4 linked regions of the Danio rerio genome follow. The protein of the gene in region 4 purifies or fractionates together with the protein of the main gene of each other region. This does not show direct contact. Links are inferred from orthologs where the notes say so. Each region holds a gene or a part of one and is shown on either strand. Other genes may lie near its edges.

What was found.
Region 1: the proteins of hif1ab (region 4) and fasn purify together in Homo sapiens (affinity purification with western blotting; 3 studies listed by BioGRID and IntAct, with this or other methods). This does not show direct contact. The link is inferred for Danio rerio from reciprocal best matches to the Homo sapiens genes HIF1A and FASN.
Region 2: the proteins of hif1ab (region 4) and septin9b purify together in Homo sapiens (affinity purification with western blotting; 4 studies listed by BioGRID and IntAct, with this or other methods). This does not show direct contact. The link is inferred for Danio rerio from reciprocal best matches to the Homo sapiens genes HIF1A and SEPTIN9.
Region 3: the proteins of hif1ab (region 4) and sumo1 purify together in Homo sapiens (co-immunoprecipitation; 3 studies listed by BioGRID and IntAct, with this or other methods). This does not show direct contact. The link is inferred for Danio rerio from reciprocal best matches to the Homo sapiens genes HIF1A and SUMO1.

Annotation. Positions count from the first base shown.
Region 1 is NC_133187.1:35,340,377-35,348,711, reverse strand, and holds part of fasn (fatty acid synthase), read right to left. Parts: intron 7,914-8,335; coding exon 7,743-7,913; intron 5,606-7,742; coding exon 5,490-5,605; intron 5,323-5,489; coding exon 5,168-5,322; intron 3,922-5,167; coding exon 3,718-3,921; intron 3,301-3,717; coding exon 3,150-3,300; intron 3,066-3,149; coding exon 2,887-3,065; intron 1,513-2,886; coding exon 1,393-1,512; intron 1,303-1,392; coding exon 1,180-1,302; intron 1,085-1,179; coding exon 861-1,084; intron 763-860; coding exon 561-762; intron 1-560. UniProt on the Homo sapiens protein: Fatty acid synthetase is a multifunctional enzyme that catalyzes the de novo biosynthesis of long-chain saturated fatty acids starting from acetyl-CoA and malonyl-CoA in the presence of NADPH.
Region 2 is NC_133181.1:24,956,699-24,964,093, forward strand, and holds the end of septin9b (septin 9b), read right to left. Parts: intron 7,180-7,395; coding exon 7,084-7,179; intron 6,820-7,083; coding exon 6,723-6,819; intron 5,053-6,722; coding exon 5,001-5,052; intron 3,316-5,000; coding exon 3,159-3,315; 3' UTR 2,727-3,158; downstream 1-2,726.
Region 3 is NC_133181.1:10,601,122-10,610,191, reverse strand, and holds the start of sumo1 (small ubiquitin-related modifier 1), read right to left. Parts: upstream 5,578-9,070; 5' UTR 5,476-5,577; coding exon 5,464-5,475; intron 4,698-5,463; coding exon 4,626-4,697; intron 4,484-4,625; coding exon 4,406-4,483; intron 651-4,405; coding exon 579-650; intron 1-578. Other genes in the region: nop58 (nucleolar protein 58), read left to right, coding at 7,091-7,135, 7,983-8,059. UniProt on the Homo sapiens protein: Ubiquitin-like protein that can be covalently attached to proteins as a monomer or a lysine-linked polymer.
Region 4 is NC_133195.1:22,872,160-22,880,494, forward strand, and holds part of hif1ab (hypoxia inducible factor 1 subunit alpha b), read right to left. Parts: intron 8,302-8,335; coding exon 8,192-8,301; intron 7,420-8,191; coding exon 7,217-7,419; intron 5,921-7,216; coding exon 5,814-5,920; intron 5,678-5,813; coding exon 5,530-5,677; intron 4,950-5,529; coding exon 4,693-4,949; intron 2,268-4,692; coding exon 2,041-2,267; intron 1,927-2,040; coding exon 1,804-1,926; intron 1,461-1,803; coding exon 1,126-1,460; intron 439-1,125; coding exon 348-438; intron 226-347; coding exon 108-225; intron 1-107.

The sequences.
Region 1 (8,335 bases), on a different chromosome or scaffold from region 4:
TACCCTAATCAGTGCTATTGTATTATTCACATTCTATCAATATAGTGGTAATTTTTATTTTGCTTATTGTTAGTTTTAATTTTTTAATTTTAAGTTTTAATAATTTTGTGACAATTTTATTTTTATTAATATTAATTAATTTTTTTATTTATTTATCTTTAATTATTGTTTAATTATGTATCATTAATATATTATTATACATATATTAGATTTATTTTTGGTGTCTTTGGCCTTTGTGACAGGACAGTAGTTAAATAAAAAGTGATGTTGGATCTATGTCATAATATATTGTATATATTTTTTCTTTTTCTATATGTATTTATGCTTATATATATGGTTATTTAACAAAGTTATTTCATTTTAGTTTAAGTAACTGCTGTACTCAAAATTGTTGCTTCATGAACTAATTGAAAAGTTTTTTTTCCATCTAATATTTATATTTAATTTCACCTTTAACTCAGTTTTTGAAGTAAAATAAAATTTTAAGTATCTAAAGTTTTAGCTAACTATCACTAACCCACACCGTCATGAAAACTGGTCAATCTCCAGTGTATGTTTACCGTTGCGGATGCCAGACCGTGACGTCAGCACCAGTTTACGAGCTCCTCTCTCTGTGAGCCACTGGGCCAGTTCCAGCCCGAAGCCACCCAGGCCTCCAGTGATGATGTACGATAGAGAAGCGGGACAGAAAGTTCGGCAGATTGCAGGGATAGAGAGAGCAGACACTGCAGGACCAGAGCTGCTTGACTCCTCTGAACGCACCTGAGAGGTTACAAAGTCAAAAAAAAAATAAAAATCTTAACATCCAACATCTCATTTCTCGTTTTATAGGCACACTCATGAACGTTTACCATCTTTACCTGTAGCAGCACTTTTCCGATGTGTTTGCCTTGAGCCATGTAGCGGAAAGCTTCCTCCACTTGGTTTCTCTCAAAGACTGTGGTACGCAACGGCTGAACAACTCCACTGGAGATTCCCTTCTTCAGCAGATCAGACACCTCTTCCCATTCCCTGTTCCCTTCTTCAAACAAAGCATCAAGCAGGATCCCATGGAAAGCCACGTTCTTTAGGAACAGAGCCATACCTGAAGTGGAAGCGATTGGATCATTGCATTTTTAAATAGTGAGGTGGAAAAGTACAAATAATAGACTGAAGAAGATCGTTGATTGATTCCTCTACCTAGTGGTGTGTTGTTGGAAAGATCATATTTGCCAATCTCCAGAAAACGGCCATGTCTAGCCAAACAACGCAAGCTGGCCTGCAGCTTTTCTTCAGCAAGAGAGTTTAGTACCAAGTCTACTCCTGAAGACACATTTACAAACAGTTGATTAATATTTCAATCCACAACAAGGCTGTTCTGTATTCGGAGTCATTGTCATACAGTCAGTTCACCTTTGCCCTGAGTGTTGAGCATTACGTGCTGCTCAAATGAAGAATCCCTGGAGTTGGCAAAAGATTCAGCTGTAAGTTGTGGGAATCTTTCCTGCAGATACTGCTTCTTCTCTTTAGAGCCTGGAAATTAAATTGAGACAAATATTTTCATTTGGAATTAGAAAAGAGATCCAACCAGGGTCCCAATGGACATATGTGCAACTTTTGGCTGATACAGTTAACCAATATATAAGCCAGTAAATACAATACAAATAGGTATCATCAACTTTATATATACATTTTTCTGGGCCTGATTACAAACACAAATTAGAAATAAATGCATTGGAAGGGATTTGGAAGGGATTATTTGAACTATAAATGCAGATAGCAAGGACCTAGAAGGTCATCTAGATCTTTTCCTTACCAAAATCATTACAAATTGCACTTTTAAAATCTACTTTTTTTTAAAGGTGTAAGCTGAGAGATTATTATATACTATTCCTTCTATGCAAATGAAGGACTACTGAGACATTCCAAGCAGGGGATGGGTCCTCCTGGTGTGGCAGTGTGCATCACAGCTCTAATACAAAATACAAATCTGCCATTTGCTTACAGTAATGATGTGCTTTTCACTAGACACAATTAATCTGCTTGTGATCTTCCTTCATATAACTTCTTCATGTTTGGAGTCATTTGACAGTTTATGATTTAAGCGGTGTAGTGATGAAATTAACAGAGAGGTTGATTATTTGTATTTCAATATACAATATATTCAAAATAGTTGAGTCATGGCCTGAGGAGAGTATATTAAAGTACTTCTCCCCCATTTTATCTCCTCAACTTTGCTCTCATGTTCAACTGGTTTTGGGGGTTAGTTTTCACTCATGTTTGACAATGCTTTGCTCAGGGTATAAAAAGGAAAGGTAAATGTTGATCTGGGAGAATGGCTTTTCCTCTGCGTCTCCCGCACACCGATGTGTAGCCTCATATGCTAACAAAGGCAGTTTCACTGTCTTTGTTGCTCAGCAGTGCATATGTTACAGCTAAATTCTCCATACAGCATGTTAGTTTGTTTCATTCTACTGTCTGTGCATTTAAACATGTAACTTAATAAACAACTTTGCCTGCTTTAGGGCGTTGAGATCCTTTCTCTTTATCAATGATGATAACAACTTTAATGGAGCCAGACTAATTACAATGGAGTCAGATAAATAATCGATTTAAACACACAATCCTTCAACTGCTTTCTGTTCTCGATTATTGGTTCAGAATAGCAGCGTAAGCTTCAAGCCTTATGCAGATGAAAAACTCTCACACTGCTGACATCTCATCTTCCCTCAAGCATGAACTCTCTGTGTTTTCTACTGTAACTTATATTAATTTTACTGTAAAGACATTTTTATGGCCCCAAAAGATCATTATGCACTACAAGAAATGTATAAACCACAACAGGACTCTAATAATCACGCTATAATGTTCATTGTTAAACATTTAAACTAGAAGTGTCCCACTCACCCACAGTTGTGAAGACTCGACAGCGCATGCTAAGTGCAATAGCAATTGCGGCCTGTCCCACTCCTCCAGAGCCTGAATGGATCAGCACACTTTCTCCAGGCCTCAGCCGGCCTCGCACCACCAGGGAATAATATGCGGTGGCATACACCACTGGCACAGAGGCAGCCTGCTCCAATGTCCTGCACAAAAACAGAGCTTCACTTAGACATCAAGACATTTTGAACCTAAATAAAATAAGCTTTTAGAATTCCAGATTGCCTCACCAGCTGGATGGAACGTCCCAAAGGAAGCGTTTGTCTGCATCCACACAGGTGGCAAGGCCTTTAGCTGGCAGCAAACCCATTACACGTCGCCCACTGGGGTCTCGCCCTGAAAACTCCATTCCCAGCATGCACTGCTGCAGCGCTACGTCTCCTGCATTGGTAGAAACATAAAGTTTCTTTAAATATACCATGAAGTGCTTTGAAATATGAATTTTTATTTGAGGTTTAACGCAAACTTAACAGAAACACAAAGAGAAGGTGGGACATAGTGTAGCTCCTCCCTTTTTAAAAAACGGCCAATAGCGTTTTGTTTTATCACCAATTTGCCAGTTAGAGTGGTTGAGGTCAAGTGCATCAAATGAAAAGCAAATTAAAAGCGTCTTGAAGGGGGCGGGGCATGTCAGACAGTAGAGAGCATTTTATTGGTTATGATTTGATGAGAAACTGAGGTATGGATAAAACCTTTTTTCACCTTAAAAAAAGGTGACGTGGATAAAACCATTAATCCATTAAGGTAAAGCTAACGTACAAGCTCTCACTTATAGCCCAAAAAGGATGGGGTACAAACCAGGGATGGCATCTGGAGGCAGTTTGCCAGTGGCCAGCATGATGTCTCTGAAGTTGAGGGAGGAGTAGTAAACGCGGCAGAGCTGCACGTTGGGACTGGACGCGACAAAATGACGCAGTGGGGAAGCGATCCAGCGCAGAGATGAGAGGTCACCACGAGTCAGGACGTTCACGTAAGCCTGCTCCGTCAACTCCTCGCTGAGATCTAAACGTGAATGCACAGTACAGAAAATAATCATATCACACAATTTAGAGTCAAAAGTTTCAATGTAGAGATACATGCAAATTGTTGGTAAAAGTTTTCCAAGTTCTAACAATTTTTTAAATGTATAATTATGTTTATATAATTTTCACAATAATACAGACATAACAATACATCTTCAAAAGACACTCAAAAAAATCTAAACAAAACAAGAGAGGAAAAAAAGGGAAAAGGGAAAAAAAAAAGGTCAAATAAAACCGATCAGAAAAAAGGGTTAAAAATCACTGTTTATTTTCCAGATAATAATACGATTACAATAGTCCTTTTTAATATGATGGGACAAAAACTATATTCCAAATAATTCAAATACACTAACTGATCACTTTATTAGGTACAGCTTACTAGTATTGGCGTGGACCCCATTTTACCTTCCATATTGACATGATAGCATTAGGATGCATCCATTCTTTCATGTTATTGATGTCAAATTCTAATCCTACCATCTGAATGCAGCAGAAATTGAGACTCAGACCAGGAAACGTTTTTCCAATCATCTATTGTCCAATTATGGTCGGCCTGTGCGAATTGTCCCTTTAGTTTTCTCTTCTTAGCTGACAGGAGTGGATTCCGGTTTGGTCTTCTGCTACTGTAGCCCATCGACCTCAGGGTTGGACATGTTGTGCGTTTAGAGATGCTCTTCTGCATACTTCGGTTGTAACTAGTGGTTATTTGAGTTACTGTTGCCTTTCTATCAGCTTGAACCAGTCTGGCCATTTTCATCTGACCTCTGGCTTGTCTTTTTTGGACCATTCTCTGTAAACCCTAGAGATGGTTGTGCATGAAAATCCCAGAAGATCAGCACTGAAATACTTCAGCCCGTTTGGCACCAATCCCCCTGCCATGTTCAAAGTCACTTAAATCACCTTTCTTCCCCATTCTGATGCTTCGTTTAAACAGCAGCAGATCGTCTTGACCATGTCTACATGCCTAAATGCATTGAGTTGCAGCTATGTGATTGGCTGATTAGAAATTTGCATTAACGAGCAGTTGGACAGGTGTACCTAATAAAGTGGCCGGTGAGTGTATACAACTTAAAAAAATAATGTTCTACACATTTTAATCATTTAAAGTATAATAATATTTAATATAATAACCTTATTATTTTATATGTTTTAATACGTACATGTTAATTAAATGTACATAAAATACACAATCTTTAAATAAGCCACTGAAAGTCTTTTCATTTTACCTTGTGTTAACAACTGGTGTCTAAAAACACCCCAGAGTCCATCCCGGTGCACATTCATAACCAGGTCCTTCTTTAATAATGCCTTCATGACCTTTTCATTAGGAAGAAGGGAGGGAACAGCAGCACCCTTACTTAAATTAGAAACAAATGTACACCTATTGAGAAAGGAGAAAAAAAAAACATTTACATGAATACTATTTATATATACACACATGCACATTTGCAGTAAATATTAAACAACGCTCAAGTCAAATGTTTAAGTCTTGTTTCACAAATATAGCATTACAGTAGTTCACGGTATGTGGAAAATAAGTGGACGGACCGTATACGGTTGCCTCCAGGCTCCTGTCTGAGGCAGTTCACCATTCCCACCACTCCATTATGGCCCTTGGTGGCAATGAGCCAAACTGGGATATCAGATGACTCAGCTAAAGTGCTCTAATGAGAAAGAGGGAGACAGAAAGCTTTAGAGGCATGCTTTAGGATTCGTTTAATGAGCCTACTGTTTGGATTTAGCATGCAGCTTGGCGACTGCATAGTATTATTGGTGGCTTTCACAACACCACTAATGAGTCTGCGTGATTAAACTTGTGATAAAACACAAGTAGAGAGACATCTTTACAACCATACTGTGACGTACATCTGAGGCCTTGTTTATACCTGGTATTAAGATGTGTTTTTGCAAGTGGAGAACACTAAATATATGTGTGTATATATAATGTTTTGAGCTTGTCAACATTTGATCAAATAGAAAATCCATTAGATTATATTTTTTCATAGTGTAGATTCAAGTAGTTGATCATTTGAACAGCCACAAAAGGCATAGTCGTTATTGGATGTGTTGTGAGAAAGCATATCAAAACAAAGAATATCATATTTCACTGCTTCGTATCAAAATACAAGTAATACAAACAAAATAGTAGCTGCCACACACATATTTATCTGCTTTAACTTTGCTGTTCTCTTACTTGGTAACTTGAGTTTGTTCATTTAATATAAGCAAACACTTCCATAAAAACGATGTACAAAAGATGTTATGAAATCAGATGGAAAAATCTCAATGAAAACCAAACAAGTCGTTGCAGAACACAAATTAAAAGGATTCAGTTCACCCAAAACAGAAAATTTTGACATCGTTTATGCACCATTGACTTTTCAGATGGAGTTTCTTTTTTCTTTTGAAAAAGAAGATATTTTGAGAAATGTTAGAAACTAGTAAGAGTTGATATCCAAAGCAGGAAAAATATCCTATGGAAGTCAATGGTTACCAGTTTCCAACATTTATTATAATATATATTTTTTTGGTTTGAGAGAAAAAAGAAACTCAAAAGTTTGGAACCACTTGAGGCAGAGTAAATGCATTTTTTATTTTTGGGTGCTCTATGGCCTTATCGTTTAATAAAAATGTAGGGGAGGGACCAAGACTATGCACCATTTAATTGTGTTAAAAACATAGGTGTTGCTCTCCAAAATTAAAGTATGCTTTGGTCTGCGTTCCATTCTGAACAGCTTCATCCCTATGGGATTTTGTAGAAGAGGTGACCAAAAAATAAATAAATAAATATAAATCAATGTGAATGACAACTTAATAAAAATAAATCCTGGCTGTTTCTAAATTCCAAGAACGCAGAGAACAGACTTGCATTCTTGTGGAGACTGGTCTAGCCAAGTTACCTCGGAAGAACGAATTCAGGAGATTGGGAGAACAGAGAACCTGTGCTCTGAAAAATGAGATGCTGCAGTCTTCCCTGGTTCTTCCTGTTGGTCACATGACCTTCACGCGTTTTTAATGGATAACGATTTAAACAATACAGCATTTATACAACGATTTATTGTTTTTACCCTTTTCATAATAAATACTATGCATGAAAGCCCTACAAATACACATTGCACAATACAAATAAAACTAACTTTAATACAAATCTCAGCAAATAAACACCCTAAATGTGTTTATGCTTTTATTAAGATTTTCATGGTGAGGTTTAGTCACCGACTAATTTAGAGAAATTCCTTAGATAAATAAGTTATCTCTCCGAACTTTAATAAAAAAAATGCTGCGCTTCTTACCTCCTTTATTCAGCCACAATGACTTCTGTGACTTCTCAAGCAAGTTTAGTGCACAAGTCTGCATTGACGCGTCCTCGATATCAAGAACACATTAGTGAACTTTCACGCGCCCTCTGTTCTTGAGTTTTGGAACTGACCTTTGGCAGTTGATGATAAAGTTACACGAGGACGCAAAATCGCATATTGAGAAACAACCCATCAGAGCTTTCTTTCTAGGGCCCTTTCAAGTGGCCATTACTGACCACTACAGTTTTAAAAGATCCTGCAAAATGGTGACCATGATTGTTCTTATTCTGAAGTGCTCTTTGCCCTTTGAAGGGCATTTTTCTTTATTTGGAACATTGTACACAAATTTAGATTGAGAGTGTTAAAGGAGACTACATGATTGGAGAAGTCCTGCACACGTCACTTTTTTTAAAAGTTAGTTAGGTCAACAGTAATAGGTTACATTTTTTGCATTTGTTTTGTAAGCAGTTACATTTTCATTTCATGCTGACTTAACACATACCTTTAAAGTTTCAACCCATTTGTAGTCAGTAGGGTCTACGAAAATATGTATCGGCTGTTTTTGAGAGGATTGTTGGCTGCGCCGGCAGAGGAAGAGAGCAGAGCCATAGTAAGATTTTCTGAGCATGACCACATTTAAAGAGGCCTTCTGGAAAAGCTCCTCCCATTCAGTCTGAAAACAACAACAACAAAAAAACACAGTTTAGCATCTGAGGACACTGCAATGACGCAGACAAAACAAAATAAAAGAACAGACAAAACAATGCCAAATGTTGCTTAATGTTATCACTTAAATACAGCACTGTTTTTCAAACATGTCACTTTCATGAGCATTTCAAAACATTGCAATTTCGTATTAAGTATAAAGGCCTTAAAGTTAAAAACATTAAAGACAAAGTTGATGAACCAGTTTAAAATAAGCTCAAAGGTAGTAGGACAGCCTCTTGAACAATTATATGAATAATTATATGATCTTACTTATCATAAGAACCTCACAAGGCTGACTAAGAATATTGTTGTGAACAAAAGCCATGTGTTGAATCATGAATTTGCACCATAATAGTTTAAACATTGATTTAAAGGGCCATGAAACCA
Region 2 (7,395 bases), on a different chromosome or scaffold from region 4:
TTGTAAGAGCGAGCCGCAATCTTAACTACGCAACAAACATGCCATCGCAATGATAGCATGCACTGTCGTAAGCACCGCATCAACATGCTTGACCCCCAGACATGAAACGCAGTGCTCGTGCCCTTCATCCGGTGACAGGAAACCACCGCATCCAGAAACGCACGGTCAAAGCGACATCTTAAAAAAGGCTGCACAACCGTGTTGCTCTTTTAGAAAAACTTACCGCTTGGGAGGACCGGACCCAAAGAAAACAAGAGAGAAACCCAGCTCGACCGTCTGCCGCCACGCATCAAACACTCTGAACCACGAGAAGCAGCCTGCTTTCTGTTCTGTCTCTCTGTGAAGATTCACTTGGAGAAAACCCTCAAAGACTCTCTCAGAAGCTTTGTAAATGGCTCTGAAAGTGAAAAGGATGTCTAGCATGGCAGGAGCTGCGTCTTTATAACTCGTTTAAGTGTAATTGACACCAGCTGTGCATGCTGATGCCACCAAATCATTAACATTGGCCTGTTTCTATACTCTTTCAGATGATTGGATTCTGACAAAATCCCCATAGTGGAAGTTTTCAACATAGCATTTTGGTTTTCCACATAGTATTGAAGTTCCCCTCCCGAAGGAGTACTTTGAGACATTCTAGCAACCCAGGGGTACAACATATAACCTCTTGCGAGGTATGTTCTCACTCAGGATGTTGTGAACTTGTCGAAGGTCTGCTCAATGTTGTCCATCTGATTTTAGGATGGTTGCAAAGGTGTTGTTAGGTGGTTGCTGGGGTGTTCTCACATGCTGCTAGGAGGTTGCTAGTTGGTTGTTAGGGTGCTTTGAGTGGTTACTATGTGCATGCTAAGGTGTTGCTAAGTGGTTGCTAGGGTGTTGCAAAGTGGTTGCTAGGCTGTGTTCTGAATGGTTGCTAGGCAGTTGCTAAGTCATTACTTGGGAATTGCTAGGGTGTTCTTAGTGGTCACTAAAGCTGTTGCCAGCCAATTGCTAAGGCATTGCTAGGGTTTTCTACAAAATTTACACTTGGCGCTATGATGTGTCAAAATTGGGCATAATGTGATTTTGTCAATGGACCCTTATAAAAGTCATTGAAATAAGAAGAAGGAGAAGAATCTTGCCCATTTTAATATTAATTTTGTGATACTCCTAAATAATGTAAATTGTGTTTTAATTAAATAAACTGTAAATTAAATAATAATATTATAGACAATATATTTGTTCATTTAAATCTTTATTAAGACTAAGAAAGAATCATATGCAAAGGTTACAACAATAAAAATAGCAATCTTTATTTTTTTTTTCCAGATCTACAGTAATATAAATTTTACCTTTACTACATCAAAATACAATGGGTGTACAATATTCACAAAATAATTATTTAAAATGTGTACATATAATTTCTTTGGCCATACTGGGCATACATATGTCATTTCATAAAATACTGGCTGAATAGTATTATGTGAATATTAGTTTGTTTGAAACTTGGTAACAGATTTTCATTAATATCAGCTGCAAAATACACATTGACACATTGTATTTTTTGACAGTCATATCAATATAGGAACCTGAGAGAAGAATCTTTAAAATCAGGTTAAAACTGCATAAGATGTACAACCAAGTAAGATTAAACTATGCAAGCAAATGGGCTAAAATCTAAATTGTGTCCAAATTTTATTTTCTTATATAATAAAAAATGTCAGCATGTATACTGGACACATTATGATTGCTAAGCAATCATTTCAATCAGCCAATTTACTGCTAGCCTATATTGTTAATTGATCATTGATGCAAGTTTTGGACACTTAATTTGCACAAATTGTTTATAAATGTGTATCCATGACTTTTTTCTGTTTTATATAATGCAAAATCCTCCATGAACTTTTGTGAGGGGCTAAAATATCCAAAACTGTTCAGAATCAGTGACAACATGAAACACTATATAAACAAATAAAGGTCATACTGTATACAGCCTATTACAGAACACAGATAGTGATTAGAATGGCTCAGGACTTGCTTTACTGAATACTAATATCTGCAAAGAAACGAATGGAGAAAAACACAGATGTACAGATGCTTGGGTCACTGTGGTAATTCTAGAACTCTTTACATTTTACCTACAAAAGCCACAACATCCAAGTAACATGATGCCATTTATAAATATATAAATGTTCACAAATTAAACTAAGTTTGCTTTTCTTCAAATAATAATAAAAAACTATGGATTCCACATACATAGGCTTTTACAAAAAATTGACACTTAATAATAAAATAAAATATGCTCTTTGAAAATGGAACAAGGACAGAAATTATAGAATGGGTAATAATACACCACAAGATTGATTTATTACAGAAAAGGGAGATTGTAAAACCAAACTGTCTGCACTCTGTTTAAATGGTATTTATACAACACTTTCATATATTTCAACACTTTCATGTTTTTCCATATAACACTCATAATCGGGATCATACATCCTGTCATGCGACTACATACTGTAAACCAAAGTCCTGCTCTTTACATTTGGACAACTCGAAAATTTCAAATGCTCTAAAACTTGATAGGGGTGGTGGATTTTACACTGTAAGTTTTCTCAATTCTACAAGCAACAGCTACATTTTCTTTGTCAAGTTGCAGTTTTAACACAAAACCATCTGTGTTATCTGTAATAATTATGTGTGAGAGCTTTAAATTGATAGTTCACCCAAAATGGCAATTCTGTTTTACTATCTTTTACTCACCCTGGATTTAGATTTTTTATTTTGAATATCTTGGAAACCTGTAACCACTGACTTTCACAATAGGAAAGAACAACAACAAACAGTACATTTCATAACATTTTGTTTTGTGTTTAACAGATAAAATAATAATAATAATAATTTTTTTGGGTGATCGATCCAACGCTGAGTATCATGGCATGTTAAACTTGACAAGCCATTGCTCCAGCTCACTTAACAATTACCATAAAAACACTATAATAAAACTCTCATCACAGAACATTACATTTTGCTACACACCTAAAGAAAAAAATCCTCAGAAATTTTTGATGTTATAAAAGAACAGTCAAAGATTACAAACGGGCAGATGGAAAAAAGTACAGTGAACTGAGGAAGAGAAATAGATAGATGGACGGACTGATGTATTGAAATATAGTTAGAGACATTTACATCTCATGGGAGAGAACTTCATGCTCAGGTACACCATTGGTGTGGATTGCTGGTTGTCCATTTGGTTTGGTGTTATTCTCATTGAGTCTGCGAACGCGGTACATCTCGTAATGGATGCTGCTTGTAATATCTTTAATATTCTGCATGTGAGTCCTAGAAATGGGAAAACACAAAGAAAAAGGGACCTTGAAAGATTTTTACTAGTAAATTGCTAACTTGATTCATAATTTGTTAACACTACATTATAAGACATTAGCAAGCAGTTCATTAATACCGTTACAAATGCTGTATTATTGACTTGTACATGTTTAATGTTTTTAATGATTGTACATACATACTTTCATAATGAATAATTTTTCATTACTAAATTAATTATTGTATGATTAACGTTTGTTAGGCATTAACTTTACATTATAAGACATTACGAAGCAGTTTATAAATTCAACAACAAATGCTGTATTATTGATGTAGAAGCATATTTATAGTGGGAAATGAGTTTATCAGAAAGAATTTGTTTATGATTAGCAATATTCAAATAAAAATTGTTATACCCTATTTAGGCATATGGCTACCCTGCATGTCAATAAATGCTTTATTAACACAACATCATGCAGTTTTGTAATTTATGCTTTATAAGTATACACAAATAAAACTCTAATATGCAAAATAAATCTTTGCAAATCTTATCTAAATATAAAATTACTGTAAAGTTTAAACATCACTAATTAACACTGAAATTAATAGTGTTATACTGTTATATTATTATATTATTTTATTGTTCTTCTGATAAAAAAGTTTATATTTTTTATTTGGCTGTTTACAGTAATGTACAATTGTACAGTCATTTTTTTTTAGATACGAAGGCAAATATTTATTTTTCATTCAATATGGTACCTTTTATTTTCGTTTATAAGTGATTTAAAAAGTATAAATAGTTATCACTTTAATAAATGTGGTAATAAAGCATTTATTAACATACATAGTAACCATTACAATATGCATGAATAATACATAGATTTTGAACAATATACATTTTGATTTGAATATTTTATTAATCGTTTACTAATCTTAAAATCCACCAACTACTCATAAATACAAATAGTTTTTAAATCATTCAATACTTAATATAGTACTAAAAATCAGTCAGAATCAAAATATGAAAGTACAATTATTAAGTACATTATACTTGTGCTTATAAGTAGAGTCAGACTGAATCTGCCGACACTTTTTGCTATTTCTGCGTAGAATTGTGTAAAAAAAATGTGGATTTTTGCTAAATGAATGTAAAACCTTAAATTAATATATATAAAATAACAAAATATACCTTTTAACTTGTATTTAATGTTTACAATGCAAATTAAATTAGATCTACTTAATTAGTAAAGAAGTCTCTTATATAATATATCTACTATAAAAAGGAAATATTACTTTGTTTACTTTTTATTTTATTTATTTACTTTAGAACTGCATTGTAAATAAATTGAATGAACATTTTTACATTAGTCAATAATATAAATATAATAAACACACATTTACACAAGTAAATAAATAGACTCAGTGATGGTCTTAAATTCTGTTTAAATCTGTATTTCTGCACACGCACATTCCATGTGGACCTACTTATAAGTAAAAAATACAGCATTTTTAGCTGTTTTTTTAAACTGCTTGGTAAAGTCTTATAATGTAGAGTTAATGCTTAACTAATGATGAACTGTCAGCTAATGCTTAATAAATGATTCATAATGTGCAGCCATTATAGTGTTAATTACCAGTACGAGTAATGGAATTTTAAGCATATAATCATTGACAAAGAAATTAGTTGTTGAATTGTTGAGTACCTGATGAGAAGGTCCCGCAAGTAAGCAAACTCGCAATGTGTGGTGTTCTCAACTGAAAGAAAAAAAGAAAAAAACGATCAAATATATTAAAATAATAATTTAAAAGAAGATTTTTTGAAGTGTTTTAGAGAGTAGTTCACTTATAAATATCACCTGATTTGTAAGCTAGAATAAATGCATTCCCACTTCCTGTAATTATCCTTTTATTTTTGCATTTATTGGATGACAGATACAAAAATGTTGTGAATACCGGTCTGTTTGTGTTTTGTTTTGTTTGTTTAGCAAGAAGTTAGCATTGCAAGCCAAAGAATCAGAATACTGAGCTTTTAGAGAGCCAGCATGTAATACTATTGCTTGAGTTGTAGTAGCATCCTTTTGCCACTAGATGGTAGTGTTTTATAAAATACAACAAAAAAGAATGAGCAGCAAAATATTTTAATATCATTAAAAATAGGACACTAGGAAATGATCAAAAATGCTTGTACACAAATGAAGTAATGAAATTAGTAAGTGGTAAACAATAAAATCTTGGTTTTGTTGAAAAAAATTTGGTATTGTTGATTAGTTCTACTTAAAAATACAACTATGCATGCCTGAAAATGGAATGAATATTGTTTTCTGTCATCTAACTCAAGGGTAATGATGACTTGAATGTGAGATTATGTTGGAATGAGACTGAAAGCAATTAATGAATTTAAAATTACAGAATAAATACAGAATATTAACTGAAGCACTGTTTTCTGTTTTGTTGTTTACATTTCTTACTCAACACATACTAATCATGTAAGCTACAGTATGTCACATCTTTTGCCTTATTATTAATCAAATTATTTTATTACTCATTGCTCATTGAACCTTCCTCAACTTACAATCGACACCAGAGGTATTGGTCTCCTCCAATAAAAATGCTTGTGAATCTGAACACCATTCTTATGTATATGTACCACACAAATCCATTTTAATAAGACAGTTATTACATGCATTTACTCATTTGTTTTTGCAATGATGACAGTACATAATATTTTACTAGTTATTGTTGGAAGATACTAATATTTAGCCTAAAGTGCAATTTAAACTCTTAATTACAATATAAGCAAGTAAGGCAAGCTATAGGAAAACAGTGTAGACAATAAAACAAAGAAAAACTAAAAATAATGTAAAGATGGATAATAATATTGTCCTAAAACTGATTAAAAATTGCATTTATTCCTGCCAAACAAAAGAAATAAGACTTTTCAAAAATACAACAGTGTGAATTCAAACCAGCAACCTTCTTGCTCTTTGGCGACCATGCTACACATTTATATGTATATATGCTGTGACACTGTAAACATTCTCTTGGTCTGTTAAAATCATTTGGGCCATATTTTTAAAAAGATTACAAATTTCACAGGATAGCTAAAAATTCAACTGTATCAAAATTAAATACATAACAAAATTTAAAACAACAAATATTTTTACAATTGTTCATGATATTTATTACTGTATTTCTGATAAAATACAGAACATGCAGCCTTGGTAAGTAGGATCAGCTTCTTCTTAAAGATCTTACAGATCCCAAAGTTTGGACATACTTTCCCTAAACAAAAGCATGTTTATTTTTAAACCAAGAAGAGGAACACAGGACACTAACCCAACAACAAAGAAAGAACTGAGAGAGAGGATGTGCAAATGTGAGTGTGGTGAATACAAGAAGTGTGTGTGTAAAGATGTAAGCACAACCTTCTACTGTTCCCCATCTTGTTTTCCTGCCCAGAAGTCTTTTTCCGTTGACCTGATATTCTTGATCACTTCCCACCACAGCAAATGGGATCATCTCCTAAAACATACATGAAAGGAGAATGCTCAATATGAAAAAGGCAACACTTGAAATTCAATTCAGTCATCTTTATTTCCGAAACACTGAAGAAAAAGTCTATCGATACACAGCTTCAATAGTCTCCACTCCATTTTTTGTTAGAAATAATACAAAGCTGAACAGAAACAAAATCTAATTCTTTATTAAGTGTAAGACATAAACATTGACTTTTTTTTAAATGCTCGCCACAGTAGGAGTTATTGAATGATATAAAGCTACACATACCCTGATCTTCTCATTAATCATTCTGTCCTCTGCATCCTCATCAAACTCCTTTTGAGGATAGATGTCAATTTCATTGGCTCGCAAGTCTTCTCTTATCTGCACACACAAGCACACACAATCATCATCATCAACAATCAATGTATGCTTTAGTTCTTCCTTCATCTACAGGACAAGCATGAAAGCGCATGCACAGGCCATTACTAATCTTTGATCAACAAAAGGGAATGAATTGTTTAAAAAAATAATAATGGACAAACAAGCTGATATTAAATTAGAGGTATGGCTTACCCAGAATAGTAAACTCAGTCTTTA
Region 3 (9,070 bases), on a different chromosome or scaffold from region 4:
AGGATAAAACAATATCTGCCCAAGATACAAATATTTTAAATCTTTTTACAAAGATATACTGAGAAATTAACAGTTTTATTACATTCTTAGGAATCCACAATTACACATTTTAAGTGTGACATATTAACAGCAGAAATGTACAAAATATATTATATAGCATGGGATTTTTAACTATAACTCAATAAAATTATGGAATTTTATATCAGCATTTTAAGCAATTGCCAAAAATTTTCATTCAAATTGACACTCAATGTTTGAACAAGAGTTTATATTTACATGCGTTAGTATTTCCATGTTGTAACTCAACACATCATCCTCACTGCAGAGCAGCTGGACCCTTATTTAATATAGTGATGGTTGATTTCTTTTAACATCACATAGTTTTTTGTTAATGCGGTTGATGGCATGTCATGCAACTTGTCCATGTCGACATCTGGAAAATTAAGCTAATTTTACCAAGTGATGATTAATGGCAAAAAACTGGATTTAATTAGCTGCATGGTCTATGACATTCACAACACAAGGGATATCCGTCTTTTCCTTATTGCAGTTGTTCTAATGGAACTGTGTGCTTGTACCTCTTTGGGGGTCAGGTTGTCTGTGATTCTCTGTCCCTCAAAGAGAAACCTTAGAGAGTTCACGGGTACACCCTGCAACAAATAAAACACAATGTCAAAATAGAAACATCTGAAATTAACTTCACTTATGATGCCTGAACGTATGGCAGCATATGTTCATGTCTACTGCAGAGCTCAGGGGTTACACATTTCCCATTTCAAAATTCCAGATTTTTTCAGACAAGTTTGATGCGTGTCACTTTGCACGAACTGAAAATACAGACTACTACTTAAATACAGGCTTACGCTTGATAGGCTTTTAAACTAGCACTGACTGCTAACGTTATAAAATAACAGTCACTATTTACCACTATAAATTTACAGATAAAATGATTTATTATGGGGCATTATCATCACACCATCCAAACTGTCACCCACATAACTTGACATAATTTTAAGTAATACATTTAGTACATAATACAGTCACGTGTGCATTTTGAGTGCAGATCCACCCTCACATGTTGGTCTGTTTCCACTGAGCGGTACGGTTTAGTATAAGGTACGGTTCGGTATGCTTCTTTGTCCGTTTCATTGTCAAAAGATAGCAAAAAGCAAATCGTACAATACCATACCACGTTTTGGGAAGTAATAATTAACTTATACCTAATAAGTATGTAATAATGAATAAGTATAAATAATCAACTTGAGCTCATGCTGATAACGTACGGATTCTTACAGTCTTTCAGAAATGGACAGACCCCAGAGTAACGCTAACAAAAAACAGCAAATGACAAACAAACAAGCAAATGATTCTTTCAGCGACCCAAAACACAAATAAACTGGGATGTTTAATTATGATCAACACCTTTTAGACTATAATGAACTCGGAATGACAGAATTAACAAGAGTTACATGTGCTGGTAAGGAATAAAGAAACAAATGAGAGGGTTGCACTGACTATGTTTTGTATTGTTGTTTTTTTTTTACTCAAATAAGGCCTAAATGTACATTTTGGGTAATTTTTTTGTAAATTTGTAATGGAGACTGTAAGGATCTGTATATGTTCACATTGCATTTTATTGCGGATGTTAAAAGTTCATAGAAAGGTTAGTAATTACATTTTTTTACATAAGTATTTATGTGTATTGACCTTATTCTAAAATGCGGAAGTGCGCCTGATTTCACGATTGTCTTAGAACTTCCGTTTCAGTCGCCTATGGGAGAAATGACAAGGAATTATAAACGGCAAAAAACGGTCAAACTACTTGCTCTACAAACAAATGTTTGCATGACTACACAGACCAAGTAGAATAAAATAACAAGGAAATATCAGTTTGCAACATCAAACAGCGAAACGAGCAGTTTTTAATGTCTAAAAATGAATGGAAGTGAATGAGACCGGAAGTCTCGTGCCAAAAAAGATTCAAATGGCAGCGCCCACTCGTCTGCGGAGAATAAGGTCAATAAAGCACCTGTTTTGTGAGAAGTGCTTCTCATATGATATGTGAACGACCCATATGGCTTTACTTTTAGTTGAGTGACATGATGTAGACTGCAACTTTCTGCCTCCATGCCTACTACTAAAAGGGTACCATTTGGCAGTGGAGACACAAGCCTGATAAAGGTTACCCACACCGTACTGATCTATACCACACTGTATGATTTGGTTGAATTGGTTTTCTTAAAAAAAACAGTAAATAAAGAGTAAATGAATGAGAATAAACTTAAAGACTAAATACATTCACCTCCAACACACTGTAATCAATCTTTAGATATGGAACAAATATAAAACAGCAAAGTAAAGTCAGATGTAAACGATCGCACACTCTCGTTATCAGTTTCTAATCAGAGTAATGTGGAGCTGAACATTTTTACATTAAAAATACACACTTTTAAAAATGACAAACAGCGGTGTGTAATGAAAATACAAGACTTGAATTCATTCAGTTGTTCTAAACTTCTCAAATCGTTTTGTTTAAAGCAAATTCTGATATTGTCTTTGTGCATTTTCTAGAATAATGGTGCTGTTCACAAAACCATCGCCAACCAACTAAGATCACAATTTCCTTCATTACAAAAATAGTTCAGCAATTCAGTGTTATTCCAAATATACATCCATACATCTTATAGCAAACATTCACAAACAGCATCACACACTTGGTTGGTTGGAGCTACACCTCTAGAGCTGTAGTTAGATGCAGAGTTCCAGGCTGTGTTCTATTCTGAATCATCCACCCTATGCCCTTGTCCATTTGAACACAAATACTCTGAATCATTTAAAAACATTAAAGGTTGTCTTGTTCACATTTTATATTAAAGTTATTCTTATTACAGTTCAGTTTATAAACTTCAAATTGACAACTGTGCTATCTCCATAGTGCACTCCCATAACATTTATGCCATTTTAAACGCAGCAGTGACTCGTGAAGAAAGCTACATTTACAATCAAAAACCTGTTTACACACTTCCAGCAACTGTTAAAACAAACATTTAAGGTAATGATTTTAACTTGTATAGAAAATTGATCTCTAATATACTGTAAAAATGCTATGGTCCACACATTTCTTTTACATGGCCCATCATAAATTGATTAAACTTAATTTTTTTTCATAAATTTAAGTGGGCTTAACTTAAAACAATTAAGTTGTCCTCAAGAACACAAGTTTCAGCTAATTATATATAAGTACTTTGAACAAGCCGCAAAAGTCTTTTTTTTTAGTGTATATGATATATGCAACATTTCTGCAGTGGTTTGAGTGTTTATAAAACTGTAATAGTAATTTATTTAAATACAAAAATATACTTTTGTAAAATGTAATTTCTGAAACATGTAACTTTATAAGCAACAGATAAATATAAATATATTTTTTACATCTTTGACCATATACATATATATATATATATATATATATATATATATATATATATTTCAGAATTAGATTGCATGTCATTATATAATGGGTTTATGTTTTATTTATAATAGCAGAGAGTATGATATGGAATATTGTCAATAATATTTGTAAAAGAAAGTAAATACTTGTGTCGTTGCGTTTCATTTAAGAAAGCAGAGATAAAGAAAAGCCGAGGCAAGCAAACTAAATGTTTATTACCAAAACTCATAATGGGTAAAAATATATATATATATCCTGTGTGTAACAATATTTTCTGTACCAAAACTAAAAGCATCTATTAATGTGAATTTCCTCTTAATAAATTGTTACTCCACCCCCTTTAGATGATCATTACAGACGTTTTATGTTTTAACTAACATGGTTCAAATAATTGATCTGAAAGAGAGAATAAACTGTCCAGGGGTCTCATTTATAAACATGGTATACACAAAATTGGGGGTGGAAACACGTGTACGCCACTTCTTATACAGGTTATTATGATCTATAAAAAACAAACTTGACGGGAGAATGTGCGCAGCTTTAAGTAAACACATTTCGCTTAAATATTGACTTAATTCAAGCACTTTAAATCATCATAAAAGCCATAATAATTAATAAATAAATAAAAATGTATTCTGGTGTACATTCACTTTTAGGAAAGTTTCTATGCAATGTTTTATAAATGAGACCTCAGGAACCTTAACTGAAACATACACAACTATTTAAACATTGTTTTTTGTTTCGGCAATGACGCATTAATTTGATCACAGTTAAGATTTTTACAGTGTTAGTGTATTTCTATTTGTAACAATACTCACAATAATACAGATTTTATGCATTTTTGATTGAATAAAAGTAGCATTAGTGCGTTTTTTAAAAATCCTACCCACCCCCCAAAACCTCTGAATGGTAGTGTAGATTTATCGTTATCCCTCATAAATGGAAAAACTGACTCACCTGTCTCTGACTGTAGGATTCCTTCAGCTTCTTTAAATGTGTCGTCATCTTCACTTTAAAGTGAATTTCACTGTTGTCCTGCGAAATGAAAGGAAATCATCAAATCTGTTCAGATCTTTTCATATATCTCATTATAAAAGAACAGCTGGATTGGTTTTAAACAGTAATGGGTTTAAATATGAAAACCTGCATTTCCTAGAAAACAAGTGCTTTTGCTCACCTGACCGATCACTTTGAGTTTAATGTACTCTCCATCCTTCTTCTCGCCTCCATCACTTGAGGGCTTGGTCTCCTATTAAAACAAAACAAGCATTCGATTACTGCATGTCATATTGTTTTTTTATCAGATTTAATGTAATGAATTAAAAAAATATCTTGGGACTGAATTCAATAAAATATTGACTGAAGATCGTATAAAATAAGGTAGATCCGATTTTAATAAATTATAATTATATATATATATATATATATATATATATATATATATATATATATATATATATATATATATTATATATAAAATAATATTGTGAGTGTTGTTATCATTTAAACACTAGGCTGTGTGTGTGTGTGTGTGTGCTTTGAATGTAAACACACAACCTAACGTTACTCTTCTATCGCGAGCTGTTAATACGAGCACAAACCGAACACAAACTAACGTGAACAAATAACGAATAATCCTAATGAACATATCAAAAAATCAACAATTAATAACTAATTCAAATGTTCAGCATGGTCTATCAGCTCAAGATATTATGAACTCTGCTTTCAGGGCCCAGAGCAGCTAACTAGCACACATGCTAATTGGACGATTTGAGGAAGAAATTCACATATTTTTGGCATTTGTGAACACAGTAAATTGGACTAATGTGTAAATTGCGAGAACCAGAAACTATGCACAGTTAAAAACACTCAAGCATTTTTATCAAAAATACTTTCCAAACCACAGTCAGCTAGACAGGCTAAAAGCTGGGCCCTCTTATTTTCATTTTCTATAAGTCCGTCTTTCTCGTCTGCTCTCATGAAAGTTCGATTCAGCATCACAGGTTTAGACTCACCGTGTCTGACATGATATTCCGCAATGTGCAGCCCTTCTGTAGATCAAGATTGTTTGATTTAAACGATACAGTGTTATGTACAGTAATGAGAGGTTTTGATAGTGCTACCAGCAGACCCACAACACAGCGCCGTTGACGTCATTGGAAAGGGGCTGGACTTTCTATGACACTGGGTCGATGACCCAACGAGCGTTGTTTTTCTCACCACGCTCTTTCTGATTGGCTCCAATCGCCATCTGCGATGTTGCTATTGGTAAAACATAGGGAGGCCCGTATTTTGCAAAAAAAAAAAAAAAAAAAACACATCAGTATTTTGGTCACGAAATATTAGAGTGCAAAAATAATGTGACAACTACACTACACCTCTGGAGGACGAAACCTGCAAAAGCAACAAATAAATAAATACGCAAATAAATAAATTAATTAACACATGTACAAATTCCTTCATAAATAAAACAGTAAATAAATACGCAAATAAATAAATAAATAAATGACTAAATATATACACAAGTTCCTACATAAATAAAATAATTAATAAATAACTACACGAATAAATGAATAAATACTCAAATCCCTGTGTAAATAAAACAATAAATAAATAAATACACAAAAAATAAATAAATACAAATTCTTGCATAAATAAAACAATAAATAAATAAATACACAAATAAATTAATAAATAAATAGACAAATTCCTGCATAAATAAAACAATAAATAAACATGCTAAATAAATAAACAAATGTACAAAATAAATACACAAATTAAAAAGATAAAAAATAAAAAGCAATGAATAAATAAAGTAAATAAATAAAGCAATAAATAAATAAAACAATAAATTAATATGCAAATAAAAAATCAATTAGTTAATAAATTCGCAAATTCCTGCATAAATAAAACAATAAATCGTTTATTTTATGTATTTATAACTTTTAATGCCATAGATTTTAAAAAAGACATTAAGACTAATTCAGTGGATCAAAGGTAATATAAAAAATCTGTATAATGTTACTGAACATTTTATTTCAAATACAGTTTCTTCTGAGAATTTTAGAAAGCTGAATGTATTGTGTATTTAACAGAAATATCAAGCAGAATTATTATTAATCATAGAGCACCAAGTAAAATTGACCATAACAAATTCTGAACTCTCATTGGAATATTAAACATATTTACATACAACAATACAGATATTTAAAATTGAAATAATATTTCATATTATAATTGTTTATTCATCTTTTTGTCTAAAACATTTAAATATCTTTTTTTTTTACAAAACTTTTGTTTAGTATATTATTATTATCATCATCATCATCATCATCATCATCATCATCATCATCATCATCATCATCATCATCATCCTCATTATTTGGAATATGACATTATCCAAAATATTGTCTCTACACACTTTGAATATAAAACTCGAAAACTGAAAATCAACACGAGGTGATGGTGCATGAAAATGAGGCTGAGACTACTGCACATGCGCACATTTCACTGGCAGTATTGCGCATGCTCGTCCTGTCCCATGTGCGCCTCGTGGAGAGAGCGACTTCTTGTAGCGGAAGGCTCTCGGTCTCGGGAGCTCGACCTTAAACTTTATTCAGAGCAAGAAAAGCTGTTTCAAAAATGTTAGTGTTATTTGAAACTGCCGCCGGCTATGCCATTTTTAAGGTAAGCTCATTTTTTTGTGTTAATTAAATGTATTTGTAGCCGTTTTCTTGCAGTTGTGTAGCTTTTACGGTTACACTTAGCTAGCCGGCGAAGTTAGCAGTGCTGTCCGAGACTTTCAAAAAGACAAAACGTACAATCTAAGGATTTTTATTAATGCAAATGCTGTTAGTACATATGTAATTTTGTAGCTCACTCGTTTTTCCCCAGTGCGGTGTGTCAATGAGGGTAAAGCGGGTCTCATGTGGCCTGCTCTGCAGCACAGCCACGTTGTGTCTTCAGCGCTTTTTCTACACTCACTGTTAGTCGAGTTTGGACTGTTTTTAAAGTAGTCAAGATGATAAAATATAATTTAGTAGTTGCAAAACAGATGCAACAAATGTATTTACATATTTAATTAAATCTTATGAAGATATTTACTGTTTAAATGCACCTCGCCACTATAGCTCATGTTTCCACATGGTCGCTCAGCGTATAACGTTAGAGGTAACGTTAAAGTTGGTTTTATATTTTCACTTTCGCACATTCTCCTTAAATTAAGTTCAGAAAAGTATCATTTACAAATTCTGATTGGTAAAATTATATTAGTAGTCAATGGCTTATCAACGTATAACATTGTTCACAGTCGATTAATTGGTGCTTATGTTGCTTTAAGGCATACTTCAATGCGATTTCAGACCCAACACTCAAAGTACCATGATAAACAATATAGGGAATATTAAATGAATGACTGCGAATATAAAACCAACTTTACCTCAATGCTTAGTGTCGACCGCTTGAAGGCTTTAAGTAAGTCTAGTATTTAGATGGTGTCTGTGCACTTTAATCAACAGCTTTTTCTGTTGTCCAGGTCCTGGATGAACAGAAGCTCCAGCAGGTGGACAGCCTGTGGAAGGAGTTTGAGACGCCGGAAAAAGCCAACAAAGTGTGAGTTTTACAGTAGAAATGTGTAATATTATATTTAATGTTGCCTTGTCTCAGAAATGTCCTTGATTTGATGATGTTTAAGTCGAATTTTTGATAATATAGTTTATAAATAAGGAACCAAACATGCTTTAAGACCTTTGACACATATAATATTAAATTATTATTTTTTTATATATATTACTTTATCGATATAGTCATGTTTTATTTTCAGGTAATTTTGGACAATGTATGGCGTTTCATTTGGTGTCAACAATGCTTTAATCTCTATGAAGATTGTATAAGTGTCAACTTCTGTGAATTATTTTTACATGCTCCCCATTGACAAGTTGTACATTGTACACTAGGGGTGCAACAAATCAATATAATCACGGTTTCTGTATGGTATGGTTTGTGCTATGCTTAGAAAAAAATGACTACAGAACAATTCAAAGAACAATAAACATATTTATTGATGAACAAACACCTGACAATGCAATAGCTTTACACACATGACCTTAGATTTGCATGTTCTTGCATTAAATAAAAGTAGGGCATTTTGAAAATTGTATGTTCAAATAAACTGCTAAGAAAATAGAGAAAGCTTTAATTTTTCTATTTTACATCTCCACTCAACAGTCTCAACCAATTATGCTAATAATTGTCAACACATATTCGTAATTGGGCACTTTTAAAGTATTGATTACTTCTGTTTACATGATGCTTGCATTTCTAAGACAACAACACATTTTTATTTATGATTTCTTAATGAATTTATTATGATTCCAGAGGGCTCCTTTACACTTACTAGCACCATCGTAGTGAATGAAACTAAAGCAGAGAGAGTGTTGGGCTCTTCTCTCCTAATTCAGGGGGAACAGTCAGTCGAGAAGAAAACTTAGCAGACAGCGGGTAAAAAGAGTGAATAGCGGGGTTGATTGGTGCGGAAGAACACTCAGAAAGAGCGGGACTGAAGTAACTGTCCGAGCCCTTATGGGACGCTTCTGGGTCCTGACACGGACCTTGATCCACCTG
Region 4 (8,335 bases):
ACAAAATATTATTCAGCCCTACTTTTCATTTGAATGTACTTGAAAATCACTTTACACACAAAAAAAAAATCAATAAAAGCATCAGTGATAATAGTCCAGTCACTCACCAGAGGGCAGTATGAGAATTGTTTTGTTTCCCCCGAGCACACTGGACCCTTTCACCTCTAAAACCTTCGCTCTCTTTCCAGGGTCTATAGCACTGTCCACACTGTGAAGCAAAGCCCCCTGCAGGAAGCAGATAAACCATCAGACTGGCATAACTATGCAGGACTCATTCAGTAACTTTTTGCATCACAGTTTTATTTGTCTTTACAAAAATAAATTGTTGTTTAAAACTTCATACTGACCAGTCCAACAGCTTCAGAAAGCGACGTCACTTCGTTTAGCTTCCTCTTACGCTGGATATTTTGGAAGGCTAACATCTTTGGAGACATTTCTCTGTAAATTGAGTAACAAATAGTAACAAAGTTAGATAATTTAACTTTTAATATAAAAAGATGTACGAATCAATCGCCTGTGCAAAAAATAAGTTCTCTGGAAAACGATAAAGTAAATTAATAAATAAATTATAGTATATCTTTATTCATATATGATATATATATATATATATATATATATATATATATATATATATATATATATATATATATAAATATATATATATAAATATATATATATATATATTTTTTTTTTGATTATTTTTCACAAGGTTTATATGTGGCACTCCAGAGGGTTTGAATGTGTGAAGATTTCATAAGTTGCCTGTTAGGAAGCAATTACTAAATGTTGGCTAAAATGAAGCCCTACAAATACAAATCTTTTCCAGAGACTAGTTAGTCAGTGTTACTGCAAGGTTTGCTATTTTTTTACTTCTGACATAAGCACTTCAAATCATTCGAGAGCAGCAGTACATAAATGACACTGACAAGTCGAAGTTATAAATTTATTTTGTGTGTGTGTGTGTCCATATAGGAAACAAAATGAGTACTGTACCAAACTACATCTCATAAATTGCTCTTATTAAAGCTTAATCTTAATCTTAAAGCTTAATGTGATCCTTCAAAAAAGAACTGATCTAACACAGACAGACTACATTGCATTGGTTTGTGTCGGTGAGAGCTTTACCTGTTGTTGAGCTGACTGCTGCTCTGTGGGGTGCTGGATCGAACAGGTGAGGCATCCCGACTGCCACTGAAGGGCGAGACAGGTGCACTGCACACCTCCTGCAGCAGGTGTAGGGGTGAAGGGGCCCGGGATGACGCCTCCTGCTTCACTGTGCTGCTGGTAGATGAGGCTGGAGATGCTGGCGAGGAGGGTAAGGGTTGGAATAAAGAGCTCATGGCTGACACAGAGTGAGTGGCAGATGGGAGCGGATCCAGTGGAGATGGGATGCGCAGCTGGAAGTCGTCATCCATTGGGATGTAAGGAGCCAGCATCTCTAGGTCGAGATCCTCCATGGGCTAGAGGTCACAGAAATGTGCAAGAGAGATTACAAACCATCTAATGACTGCAAAGTTGTGTATTTTATTTTATTGTTTTATTATAATATTGTTTTTTTTATAATTTATTTTTCTTTCGTTTTCTTTGTAATAATATAAAATAAAAAACTTAGTCTTTTTTATTTGCATATGTACTTATCAAATCTGTAATTGTGTTTTATGTACATGTGTATATATATTCATATTTGCAATATATAAGCAATACTTGACAAGTCATGCCAATAAAGCTCATTTGAATTAGAATTTGATTTTGGGAGAGAGTGAGACAAACAATATGTAGTTAAAATCTTAAATAAAAAGTTACCTGGGTGGAAAAAGGTGTCTTTGCTTCGGTATCAATAGCAAACAGTTTCTCAACCAGGTCGAGTTTAAATTCAGAACTGATGTCTGGTTCCACTGGGAAACCGTAATCCATGGGGCTGTTGGGCTAAGATTGACAAAAAAAAACAACCTAAAGTCAGTGACAGTATCTCATTAACCATTACAAGGGAGCAATTGTTGTTAAATGACCAAGAATAGCAAGCGTTTAATAAGTGTTTACCCCCGAAGAGCCGAGTCCAGATGTGGAGGGTGTGTTTGTGGGGTCTGGCACACGATCAGAGGCAGAGCTGAAAGGGAAGTCCTCTCCTCCAGTCTCTAGTTTGGTCAGAGCTGGGATGGAGTCGCTGGGTGTGAGAGGAGATAGGCTGAGTGGCAGCTTCTCACTGCTGGAAGGCAGCATGACATCATTGTAGAGGGGCACCTCCTTCAGCAGCTGTATGTCAGAATCTGGAGGGAAATGGATACCGGTAATTATTATTGGTAGACCACCAAGGAACTGTGTGTATTTAATATTAGATTTACTTCAGTAAAATTATGAAAGCACATTTCCTGTAATCTCAGATGATTAGTGAATGACAAGAGTTGTTAGTCTTCATAAGATAAAAAGCTGCCAGGGGATTGCATTTAATCCTCTAAAGCAGTGTTTCTCAACTATGTGCCTGGAGGACCACCAACACTGCATGTTTTGGTTATCTACATTGTCTGTCACACCCATTATAGGCCTTTCAGTCTCAGGGAAAATGTGCAGAGCTGGTGGTCTACCAGGAATGTGGTTGAGAAACACTGCTCTAAAGATACACACTCTTGAAATGTTTATGGTCAGTAATACAGAGTTCACACCAATTGCAAGTTGAAGTATTCACATGAGTAGATTACATCCAAATTCAATGCAAAATTCTGTTAAACATAAAAGATGACTTTAGCAGAGTATAGGAAGTTGGTAGCCATTAGCTATGTAACAAACCTAGATTATCGCATAAAATGTGTGTATAAAGCAGCGTTTCCATCAAAGCGAACAAAATAGTCATTTCCTGATTAACTGGCACCAAATATCAACCAAAAAAAAAAACGAACTTGCTGGAGTAGAAGAAGCTGTGTCAATCTTCTCTTCATCTAATAAATGATTTGCACCTTAGAAGGCAATCCTGACACGCAATGAATGCGCAGTGGCGTTTGAAGGTGTGAGACACGAAGCACAGACGCTCTTGATTCTGGAGGTCATTAATAATATAATAACACTAATACTTAAACGGTAAGGCAATTTAGAATGACCAAAACAACATTTCAGCTGTTTTATATTGTGCTCAGCCAGCTGGTTTGTCCATTTACAAACATTTTCATCACATGATCTCTTATAACAGAATCACATGACCATTTTTAATGCTCATAATGAAATTTGTGCGGTAAAAGTGTTTTCATCGTAGTTTACACTTCTTTTCTTATCGAATAACAAGTTTATCCTACTCAGTTAAGCGCATAAGTTCATGCGCATTTTCAAAATGTATGCGCATCGTGGCGTTTCCATCAATCGTTTTTTTTTTTTTTTTTTTTAAATAGGTGGATCGAAGCATAGCTACTGACTTACATTGTAGGAAAATAAATACCGTTTAAGTCAAATGATACTAGTTTCCATCATTCAATAAAGAAACAAACATTTTTTTCTTCCATTCAGCATGCGGTATGAACTTCCATTACAACAACTCTTCCAGCAGTTCATAGTTGCATCCAACATCTCGTTTGTCATCGGGGGCATGCACGAATGAAAGTGAAAGTGCCAAACCGCAGTTAAAGTTGACAAATTAACAATAAAACACCCGAAATTACATGAAACTTCGGAGGAAATGCGGATAATGCGGTGACGCAATGACGGTAATCTAAGTATGTGCTATAACATGTAAAATGTGATCATGAAAGAAACTTTCAAAAAGCAACTCATGTAAACGCCTTTATCTTATTATTGTAGATTAAGGCAAATAATTCGATTACTGATGTCCATGTAAACATAGTCAGTGAAGTCTCTTACGTTGCAACAGAAATTTATTCTCTAAATAGACGTGCATTTGAACTTTCTACTCATTAAAACATTACAATTTTCAACAATGACTACAATAAATATTTCTTGAGCGAAAATCTGCATCTTAGAAATGACTTCCAAAGAATCCTGTTAAACTCTAAAAGCATACATCCCTGTTCATACATCCCCCAAATTACACTTTAAAGGTTTGTTTATGTTTAATGCCATGCCAGGTTCTTTGGTTATTTTCATGGCGAGAAAATATCAACTGACTGCAGTAAAGCTTAAGTATTTTTTCATTTATTGCTAAAATCTCTTAAACCATATTCGGTTTAACAGTGATAAAAATGTATTCAAAAGTAGCATAGTGGAACTAAATAAAAAAATGTCTCAAAGAATTAAAGCCAACACAAACTGTGTTGAGAGAGAACATGCTTCACAGATAAAGTGCTTTTGCAAAGACAACAGATTGGAGGATCTACTCCTACAGGTGAAAAACATACTGGGAGTATCTATAATTGTACTAAAAAACTGCGTGTCATCTTTGATTGACCCATTCTACAGTGGGTATAAACAACTTGATTCCACCAGTTAGAAATTTTAAGGTTTCTTTATCAATATTGGGGCTAATTTCACAGAGTTCACTTTAACTGTAAAAAATTAAAACTATAGACTAGAAGTGTTAATAAACATTGCAGGAATGTCCCTTAAGACTAATCTAGATGTGAATATATAAAAAGATATGTGCATCTTTGCTCATGGATCTTTTAATAAGCTCTCATTGAAACTGAATGAATTTAGGTGGCTTCCAGTTACTCTCAAATTACTGAAAAAATGTACCCATCCAGCAAGAATTACCTGAGTTGTTGAAGTCCAGAGAGATAATGGCGTCGCCTGCTGCAGGTGCCAACACAGTGAGGGCCTCTGGCTCCTCTTTCAGCTTATTATAAAGTGTAGAGCTTTCCAATGAGCAATTGAGGCTTTCTGGCTTGAAGAGCTTGAGAATATCCAATTCAGAGGTCTTTTCCTCAGTCTCCTCACTTTCTTTCTCAACAGCCTTGGGCTCAGTCACGGTCTGCTGCAAGGACAGGACTACATCCCCCTCTACAATGCCACTGGATAAGACAGAGTAGTAAAGTTGAAAATATGAGTTAATTAGCATTTATGCATACATTTTACATAGAAACGCACAATATATCATTTCAGAATCAATATCACAAGTGAATCCACAATAGTTCTATTGCAGGACCTGCAATGTCAAATTAGGATTATAGTTGACCAGGAACCACAGGAGTTTTCAAATACATGATTTGTAAAGTCATTGCTAATTTGAACTTTAAAGGTACAAAAAGTTTAACATTTGTATGTTTTTAAGGCCTGTGACAAATGTATTTCTATATTTTACATGATTTGATTATTATATTTTCGTCAGAATTCTGTTTGACTCATAGAAATAACATAATGTTGTGCCCCACTGTATTTATCAATGCTTGTGGCTGATTTATTGAATATTTTGTACAAATGCACTCCTCTAAAAATGATTGTTTCCAAATACAGTCATTCATTTCATCTGTTGAAGTATACAACAAATCGTGATATGTATAGCAGAAAAATAAAATTTAGCACTGTGAATGTTCTTATAAGAATATGCACAAAAAGCTTCACAATATTTTGTTTCTAAAACAGAATCCATACCTGAGAACGTAGTTGACGCACACAATGCATTGCGGCTGAGAATTCTTGGGGTTGTAGATTACAGTGGCCTGAGTCTCAACCCACACAAAACCACCTTTCTTAGCCAGCATGCGGTACTGGCCTGTGGTGGCCTGGCCCTTTGCAAACACTGCAGAGACATAAGGCTTTCCAATTAAAAGGCATTCGCATGACACCTTCTGTATCAGCTTTACATTAAAGTCAAACTTGAATCAAGATCAGGTAGACAACTAAACAACTTTATTGAACTGATAAGCTTCACTCACGGTTGTGATGTGTCTTGGTGAGGTGATCTGAATCAAGGGCGTGATAGTACTCGTAGACTGATCTGTTCAAGAGGTCATCTGGCTCATATCCCATCAGCTCAGTGATCCTTTGGGAAAGAGTGAGAAGATTGAGCGTACAAAGCATTTAGTAGCCACATGCTGAAAAACTGCCCATTTGCCAAATCCTGTAACCATTAAGTCATTGGGTTATTAACAGTTTCAAACAGGACACTTCTCTGTTATGCTTTGTAACTCTTTTAAAGTTCTTGCAATATACCACATATTATATTTAACTAGGACTTGTATCTACCCTAATGCAATGCACGGAGTTGAACATCAGAGTACTGTATCAAAGTTTATTTAAAAATAAAGATTTTAATATTTTATTGTTAGGATAAACTCTGCAATAAGTTTACATTTTTGTGTCGGCCCAATAGCCTAGTGGTAAGCGGAAAAAAAATCTTTTTTAAAACAATCATTTTTGTTACATATTTGACCTGTTTTTCTTTTTTTTGTTCTTGCGTGTATTGTGTTTACAGGCTGCTCTTATTAGTTTAGCATACTAAAGTCTTCTGGGGTTAGTACATATGGCAAATAAATTTCTTGACTTGACTTTTCCCAAACTCTATTTGAAATATGTTTAATGGCTTTATTTAACAGGGTAAACTTTACAGTAAGTTTCCATCAGTAATTGTCTGTTACTCATGATCAACAGTAACTAACAACGACTGAAAGGCTAATAATAAAATAAATGTTCACTGCGAGCTCAAGTTCATTAAATAGCATAAACAGATTCTAATACTAATAGATAACTACTACATATAAGATATTAATAAGCAAATGAGTATGCAAAGTATTTTTTATTCATCTTAATTTGTTCATTACATTTAACTATTGATTATGTAAAGTATTTATGACAAATATCAAATCAGTTTCAAGTAATATATGACGAATTGAGAAAGAGGTATTAAGGGTTATGGTTAGTTTGAGATTTAGTAAATAGTTATTACCATACTTGCATACATACATGAAAACGTTTATTCATAATTAGTAGAACCTTAAAATACACTAATAGCTTCTGCCACTAGGTGGTGCTAACAACCCAGTAAAGTTAAAACCGCAGGCTTTTGTGCTGACACTAAACGGGTTCTGCAGCATTGCTTTTATTCAAAGAGATGTAAACAAAAAGATTCAGGCTTGCAAAACATTTGTTGCCAAGCACAGATAACACTGTACATCCTGTACATCCAAACAAAACCCCAATGAAAATGAAAAAAGGAAAACTAAATTGTGCTAAATAATTTAAACCCTCAGAAAATGAAGAAAAAGAAAGGTTTGTGTGCCAATGTGTCGACCACCAAATTGGATTTTCTAATATGAGGGAGTCACATCTCTCTGCTAACCTTTCATCACAGTATGAGAACTTCATGTCCAGAGTGTGGCGGCTGAGGAAGGTCTTGCTGTCCAATGGCACCTCGATGTTCGAGGGATGAGGAATGGGCTCACAGATGAGCACAAGGTAAGTGACAGGGGGCTCTTTAAAGCCAGAGTCTTCTGAAGCCTCGCTGCCCTCGTGCACACGAACATGACCAGCGCAGTGAAGAACCTGAGAGAAGGAAAAATCTGCTTGTAAAAGTCTACTTTGAGCAAGTCAGCTACAATCAGTGTTCTTGCATCTCTTTCAAAGTAGAATTTAAGCACTTTATAAGTATGGCAAATGAGATATTTACAGAAATATACATAATTTATCACATCATAGCAGATGTTATTTGGTAAAGTATTCAACATTATAGTATTCTAAGGAACATTTTGATGGCATGTTTGCCGCAACATTGAATTACTGTAATTTACTCCTGTACATTTTTACTCACATCTTAATTGTGTCTTAATTTGAATTTCAAAAGGCACAGATGAAAAAAAAAAACTTTACAGGCACATAAGCAAACTCTAGAGTTTTAATTTTAGGCAAACGCAAAAAGATTTATTTTATTTAAGTAATACTTAAATAAATTACTCAAAAAGTAACAAATTTTTTGTAAAATAAATTATTATGAAAGCAAAAGCATTACATTTGCAAGCAAATTCAAGCACTTTACCAAAAATCTAAGCACTTTTTAAACCTTGAACACTAGATTAAACTTCACGCATTTTCAAGAATTTCCAGCACCCTTATGAACCCTGTACATAATAAAAACTACAAAATAAATATCCTTCACAAAAAATGACTCAAGCTTATTTTCTTTCCTACTTCCTTAACTAAAATCTGCTTTACGAATTGTATTCTTCTTGAACAATACACCAGGAAAAGGTATAGATATGTGGAAGGCTATATATAAGCTATGACTACAATTAGCAACAGTTTGAAAAGACAATGTCACCTTCCACGTCGCAGACTTGATATTGACGGTGCGTCCTCTGCTAGTGAGTGTGCACTTCATCCGCAGGAAGAAGCTACGCTCTGTGTTTTGTTCCTTGGTCTTTTTGGATCCTAAACATGGATGATAAGGATGAAGACAAACGTT